2 linked regions of the Cricetulus griseus genome follow. The protein of the gene in region 2 binds, or shares a complex with, the protein of the main gene of each other region. Links are inferred from orthologs where the notes say so. Each region holds a gene or a part of one and is shown on either strand. Other genes may lie near its edges.

The links. Proteins that work in one complex are often made in the same cells at the same time.
Region 1: the proteins of Tnfsf13b (region 2) and Tnfrsf17 are in contact, whole or in part, in a crystal structure (PDB 1OQD), measured with the Homo sapiens proteins. The link is inferred for Cricetulus griseus from reciprocal best matches to the Homo sapiens genes TNFSF13B and TNFRSF17. Residues at the interface, in NP_006564.1 of Homo sapiens: Ser162, Tyr163, Lys204, Thr205, Tyr206, Ala207, Met208, Gly209, His210, Arg231, Cys232, Ile233, Glu238, Pro264, Arg265, Glu266, Asn267; in NP_001183.2 of Homo sapiens: Tyr13, Asp15, Ser16, Leu17, Leu18, His19, Ile22, Arg27, Ser29, Ser30, Asn31, Thr32, Pro33, Pro34, Leu35.

Annotation. Positions count from the first base shown.
Region 1 is NC_048600.1:35,396,952-35,400,702, forward strand, and holds the start of Tnfrsf17 (tumor necrosis factor receptor superfamily member 17), read right to left. Parts: upstream 2,378-3,751; 5' UTR 2,369-2,377; coding exon 2,254-2,368; intron 1,411-2,253; coding exon 1,252-1,410; intron 1-1,251. UniProt on the Homo sapiens protein: Receptor for TNFSF13B/BLyS/BAFF and TNFSF13/APRIL. Promotes B-cell survival and plays a role in the regulation of humoral immunity. Activates NF-kappa-B and JNK.
Region 2 is NW_023276807.1:70,512,312-70,516,062, forward strand, and holds the start of Tnfsf13b (tumor necrosis factor ligand superfamily member 13B), read right to left. Parts: upstream 2,224-3,751; 5' UTR 1-2,223. UniProt on the Homo sapiens protein: Cytokine that binds to TNFRSF13B/TACI and TNFRSF17/BCMA. TNFSF13/APRIL binds to the same 2 receptors. Together, they form a 2 ligands -2 receptors pathway involved in the stimulation of B- and T-cell function and the regulation of humoral immunity.

The sequences.
Region 1 (3,751 bases), on a different chromosome or scaffold from region 2:
GGAAAACAAATTCATAAAGAAGCAGGACAAGGGCTCAGAAGATGACTTAGTGGGTATAAGAACGTGCAAGCGTGGGGCTGGAGAGATGGCTCAGAGGTTAAGAGCACCGACTGCTCTTCCAGAGGTCCTGAGTTCTGGTGTGCAAATAAACATGGAAGCAGAATTTTGTATATATAATAAATAAAATCTTTAAAAAAAACATACAATCGTGAGGATCTGAATTTAAATCTCTAACACTCTGGTAACAAGCACATACCCGTAACCTCAGCATGTAACCTCCCAATGGCAGAGATAGGAGCTAGGTAACACAGCTGCAACAGCATGCCTCTGATCCACTGAGAGACCCTATCTCATGATAACAAGGTGAAGAACAATAGAGGAAGATACCTGATGTCCTGCTCTGACCTGATGAGCAAGTGCATACTCACATTCATGCACCACACACACCAAAAGAAAAAAAGTAATAAAAAAAGATGCAGGACAATGGCTGCTGTGTGTCTTGAAAATCAGGTCACGGGGAACAGTGCTATAAAAATATTTTTAGCCTAAGAGGCTCTCAGGTGGAGCTTTAACTTCTCTGAGACTGGTACTCTGTTGCCTAATAATTATTCTTGAGATGGTTAGTGAATCCAGGAGCAACTGGTTATTCATTTCTAGCACTTGGGGCAGCAAAATGTTCACATGCAAACAGTGCTTATGATTATATTTAAAACATGACCAGGGATCTTGCCAAATACAGTTATCCTGAGAGTACCTGGCTATTGTTGTGTGATAACGGAGTATCTCATCAGTGTTCTAACTACAGTGAAAGACACTTACCAAGCAAGCCTCAAGAGCAATTACCAAGAGAAGAACTGGGGGAAATGGGCATTGAAAGGAGACCTGCAAAGTAGCTGTCAATGCCAAGATTTCTCTGTTGTTTGTTTGTTTGATTGTTTGTGAGGGCATTGGTGGTTGTTGTTTTTTTATATATATATTTTGTTTGAGACATGGTCTCATGTAGCCCGAGCTGATCGAAAACTCCATATGTAGCTGAGGACGAACTAGACCTTAACCCCTTGGATCCTTCTGCCTGCCCTACCCAGGTGCTAAAATGACAGGCATGTACTACCACACCCAGCTCAAAAATTCAACTATCCACTAACACATTTGAAAGTGCTGTAGCCAAAAAAAAAAAGTCAAAGTTAAAAAAAGAAAAGGAAATGAAACTTGGAAGAGCCACCCCTACAGAAATAGATTTCTAAGAGTCACCATCAAACTGACCTGGGTTTTGAAGTTTGTCCTTCAGTGCTTCAGAATTCATCTTCCTCAGCAAGAACGTGAGCGCAAAAAGTACCAAAGAAACAATCAAGGTCAAGCCCAAGAAGGTCCAAAGAACAATTTGTACCCCTTTCGTTGAACCTGTCACACCTTTATTAAAAGAACATCACAGAGATCAGTACTCAAATCAAGTATGAATTTTCTAACACTCAACTCCCCTATTGCATATTCATGAACACCTTACTTTGGGGGTAGGTCAGGCTGGCCTCAAACTCATCTGTAGACCTTGGCTATGGATGAGTCCACCTCCTATGTAAGTGCTGGGATTACAGATCTGCAGCAACATGACTATAAATACTGCTGCAGAGCCCAGGGCTGTGTGTGCACCAGCCAGGCACTCTACCAACTCATCTACAACTTGGCTCCTTTTTTGAAACAGGATTTCACTGTAGCCCAAGCTGCCCTGGAATTCACTATATAGTTCAGGCTAGCCTCAAATTTGAGTGGTTCGACACCCCTTGGGGTTGTTGAATAATCCTTTCACAGGGGTCACATAAGATAATTGACATTATGATTCATAACAGTAGCAAAATTACAGTTGTGAAGTAGCAACAAAACAATCTTAATGGTTGGGAATCACCACAACCTGAGGAACTGTACTAAAGGCTTGCAGCATTGGGAAGGTTGAGAGTGAGAACCGCTGCTCTGGAGGCTTAAAAGCCCCCCTCCCTGGCTTCACCAACATTGACTTTTAATTTCTAAATGTCCTTCAGTTAAGAGCTGATGAAATCGCCATCACTATTGGTGCTGAATAAAATGGAATTTGGATCTGAACAATTCCTTTGCTCCAGGAGACATCTAAATTATTGCTTGATTTCTGGTTTTGATTCAGGAAAACGAAACAAAAATAATCTCCCACCTTCTCTGTTAGATAAATAGGCACTATCAAGAATGCCTCCCAACAAGAAGCAGCTATTGAAGAGTCTCACTTACTTGGATTACAGTAAGGCTGACAGGGTACGGGAGGGCTGGAACATCGAAGGTGGCAAGGTTTGCAAGTGTGCAGCAGACTGTCAAAATATTCACTGTGGAAGCACTGCGGAGCCATGTGGGACTTGATCACTGAAATAAATGGAAACAGCAGACAGAACAGCATGGAGGACAAACAAATTCTCAGCAAGAGTTCCCCGTGGACAGCGGTCAGCGATGTTGAGGGGGAAGGAATGACCCCTGCCCTTGTTGGCTCTTATGAGGGCTGTAGGTATTATGGCAGAGGATTTGAATACCTCTCTGGGTCTCTGTTTCTAAGAGGCTTGGGTGGGGCAGTGAGGGGTATATTACAACAAACGTACCTGAAACAGAAACTACCTATTTATAGAGGAAATTTCTCACACAGGTGACAGTTGCATGAGGTGGACAAGTCTAGGGTATCAAGCAGAAAGTGCAGTAGCCATTTATGGACCACCTATTTGTGGGCTGTACCATGTGATAGGAGACAGGCAAGATGAAGACTGTGTCCCATACACACTTAAAGTCAATAGGGAAGGCAGACCATAGTCTGTAACTGGAGGGCCGTAGCAGCTGACTGAAGGGAAATTGGAGGGAGGAATCAGTCAAATATGACAACTGATAGTCATATTTCGCAGCTGGGATTAAAGCAAGAGGCTTAAAGGAAGATTGTTTGTGGGCATTCTGTCATGACAATAAAATCCATCCTACTTGAGCATGGTGGTGCACCTTTACTTCCAGACTTCTGGAGGAGAAGCAGGCAAATCTCTGTGAGTTTGAGGCCAGCCTCATCTACCAGGACTAAATAGTCAGTAAAACATCAATCCAGTATACATCCATGAAAAGAAATGGGTCTTTACCATCTCCCAAAAAAAATGCTTACAGACTTGAATTGATTGATGACTTATGAATATACATCATATCCTTTATGATCCTGCAATGTCAGGGTTAAGGATTCAAGATTGAGTGTCCTTTGGGTACATGCCTAAAATCCCAATTTATGAGACAGAGGCAAGAGGGTCTCAAGTGGAAAGCCAGCCTGGGTTACATATCAAAATCCTATCTCAAAATTTTTTTCTTTTTCTTTCTTTTTTTTTTTTGCATTTTCAAGACAGGGTTTCTCTGTGGCTTTAGAGGCTGTCCTGGAACTAGCTCTTGTAGATCAGGCTGGTCTCAAACTCACAGAGATCCGCCTGCCTCTGCCTCCCAAGTGCTGGGACTAAAGGCAAAAAAATAAATTTTTAATTGAAGCTGGGCATGGTGGCATGCACCTATAGTCACAGCCACCTGGGCAGTGAATTCAAGGCCTGCCTGAACTACACTGTAGCAAACTTGTCATAAAACTACATGACTGGGGGCTGAAGAAATGGTTCAACAGTTGCACTGGCTGTTCTTCCAAAGGACCTGGGTTTGATTTCCAGCACCTACATGGAGGTTCACAACCATCTATAACTCCAGTCCCAGGGGATCCAATGCACTTGCC
Region 2 (3,751 bases):
TCATGCATATATCTCTAACATGTTCTAACATTACCTAATTACATACAGAAATTAAATGATACAAAGGAGTGCAAGAGGAAGAGATGGCACCTTTCTCCATGTTCTTCTGTATAACTATCCAGAGGCAATTAACTCACTGGGCTAAAGGTTGTCCTTTGTCTTCTTTGCTCTATTGGGCAAAGAACATCATAGTCAAGCTCCTCAAGAGAAAGCCCAGACCGATCTGAGTTCAGATAATTTTGGAATCAAAATCCAACATTGGCTCATGCAGTGGTGTCACTGTATATCAATGGCTGCTGCTTCTTCCAACAAAGGTTACCAGGGAGGTGCTGGTGAGCAAGCACCATTGTTTCTACTACCTCCATGGAGATCACACAAAAACAGCTGTAAAGTTTGTTACATTTATAGCTATTGGATTTCTTAAGAGATGTGAAAGACACAGTTATCTCTCCACAACTTGAATGTCTGTTTGCTCAGAGGAAATGGTTTGGTGCTGATTTAATCAGAACTTCACTAAATAAAGAGTGCATTCTTATTTCTTGACTACCACAGAGCACTAGTGTATGTTTGCTTGACAGGTTATCTTCCATCCTTAGACAGTTTTTTATGTGTCTTACATATAAGGCATGTCTCTTTGGATAGTTAGGTCTTGTTCTAATGCAGTGAGTTGATATTCATCTTTTAATTGTTGTATTGAGAACATTTGCATTAGGTCATTGTTGAGAAGGGATTGCCATTTCCTGTGGGTTTGTTGGTAGTTCAGGATGGTGGGACTACTAAGGATTTCCTCCCCTCCTTTGAGTACTGGGGGTTTCCTGATTTGATGTGTTGGCCATGATGGGTCTCAGGTCTCCTTTGATTGTACATTGCTCTCATGAGTATGTTCTTTCCTGTGTTTTACTGAATGAGACTGTCTTTTTTCCTTCTCCCTGTATGGTATTCAGACAGATCTTTTCTGCAGCACTGGCTCCACTGCCGTGGGTTTTGATAAAAGGGACTGCGCTATAAAGAAGTGCAGGTTGAGTACTCAGCATTGAATAGGACTTGGGTTTCAATACCTTCTATCCAAACATCACACACATCAAGGCTTTAGGAACATCCTGAAAGGGGAAGAAAGTAGTAAAAACCAGAGGATTGGGAGGAGTGCTGTGAAATACTGTCTCCTGACCATGACACTCACAAATTCACAACACCTGTGGTTATCTGCTCAAGATCTACACAAGACCAAGCCAGCCAAAATTCTGGTATTGACTTGTTAGGTTTTCTCCAGGCTCCACCCCGTACTGAGGAGTTATTGGTTGTTTCTGCTAGAGGGAGAAACATTCTTTTGTTGCTTTGTGGCCACTGATCAGATTCTCATACTCCAATGGATGACCTACTCTAATGTATTAAGCGCTACACCTGATTGCAACTATGCTTCTATTTTCTACCATCTGATTTTCACCAGAATCAATCATACTTAGTGCTACACTCTCCTGAATTTCTGAAACGGTGTGGCAAAGCAGGCTGCATTCCTTCACAGATAATACAACCATATCACCTTGGAATTCTGTTATAACAATATAAAGTTAAGAATGGCTTTGGAAACTGTCATTATCTACTGGGACCTGAATGTGTACCTCCAAAGCTTCCTGTGGACAATCTCTTACCAGTGTAACACTAGCAGAAGATAGACTTACAGAGACATGTGTTCTGACAGTGTGAAAGGAAATGGTGAACAGAATGACCCCAGTCAATCACACAGACATGTATACACTAGGACTGCCACAGAGGGGAAAGGAACAGGAAAATATTCAGAGAAATAATGGCTGTAAACTTACCAGTGAAGTGTGGGACTGGGGCCCTCTGGAGGCATGTGGGCCACAAGAACTCCACACTCATGAATGGATCCCTGCTGATTATAAATGGGCAGGAGACTGAATTTCCACTCTTGTTTTTGTTTTACATACCTTTGTCTTTTGACACAGGACAATGCCTCCAGAGCCCCACCCCCACCCCATAGGTAAAACATCTTGACATTGGATTCCTAGCTTCTAGAACCACAAGTCAAATGAGTTTCTTTTCTTTACAGACAACCAAGCTTCTGGCATTGTGTAATAACAAAACATCAAGTATTAGGACAGACATGAAAATATCCCTGGGTTATCTAAAAAAAATGAGGATCTAGTGGAGCTGAGTAACTAGGTTTTTTATAGCTTTACTTTTTTTTTCTTTTTTGTAATTTACTTTTTACATTCCAATCCCAGTTCCCCCCTCTTTCCTTCCTTCTCCCTCCCTCCATCCGCCCTCCTCTCATCTTCTCCACAGAGAGGGTAAGGCCTCTCATAGGAAGTCTACTAAGTCTGTCCCATCATCTATTTGAGGCAGGACCAAGGCACCTCTCCACCCCACACCCCTGTGTCTAGGCTTGGTATGGTATCTCTCCATATAGAATGGATTCCACTAAGTCAGTTTGTGCATTAGTGTTAGGTCTTGGACCCACTGCCGATGACCTCATATATTGTCCCAGTCACACCATTGTCACCTATATTAAGGGTTACATTAAGGGTTAAGTACAGCTGTACTTTGTACTAGTAATCTTTTCATATCCATTGTCTTGTGTTACTTCCATGGACAAGGTGACTATTTTCTGTGATCTCGTAATTCCAATGCAGTTCACACCCATGTTCTCTGTTTCTGATTGTCTAATATTTTACATAAACACATTATTAGTCCCAAACTGAAACCACATGTGTATGTTCTCTTATCTGGCTTTTTGTATAACGGAAGGGAAGACAGGAGATGGCTGATGCATTTTACCAACCTTTTTTTTTTTTTTAAAGATTTTATTTACTTATTATGTATACAACATTCTGCTTCCATGTATATCTGCACACCAGAAGAGGGCTCCAGCTTTCATTACAGATGGTTGTGAGCCACCATGTGGTAGCTGGGAATTGAACTCAGGACCTCTGGAAGAGCAGCCGGTGCTCTTAACCTCTGAGCCATCTCTCCAGCCCCTTTACCAACCTTTCTAATTGTATAGTTCTTAATGCTGGGTTTGTACATGCATCAATCTGATGTGAATTTACTGTACATTATTTCCTGCAAATAACACCTGGCATTTCCTGAGAAGTGGGTCTAATAGCAATGTACTGGACTCTCATTTTAGGGATAATGTTCTCTTTCATTTCTGAGAGTTTTCCCAATTATACAGTTTCTCAACAGCACCTGTCTAGCACATGAGCCTTCAGTCCCCTCACCTTCTATCCACCATGGTTCCCAATGATCAGGGTGTTCTTGGTCTCATAATTAATTTGCTGCGTTCTCTTGGTGCTGTCTTAACACTTTCTCTCAGGGTTTTTACTAAATGTTTCTATGTGCTGGTCACTATGTGTTCATGTATCATAGTTCATCAATATCCTTAAATATGGATATTGATATTTTTCATCTAATTTCTTAAGTTTTCAGCCATTGCCTCTTTGGATATTTTTCTGCTACCACCTTTTCTCTGGCACTTCCATTGTGCTCAGATTGCCAACAGCTCTGAATCTCTATTCACTTTCTTCCTTTTTCTGTGCTCTTCAGATTGCATTGTCTCTACCAACTGATCTTTCTGAGATATTGTTAAAATGCGCAGTGGACATTTAGTTCAGTTCAGTTGTATATTGGAACTCTAGAATTCCTATCAGACTAATTAACAAATCCCTATCATTTTGTGATTTTTTCTATTTGATGGGAAGCTGGGTTTTGTTTTCAATGGGAAGCTTTT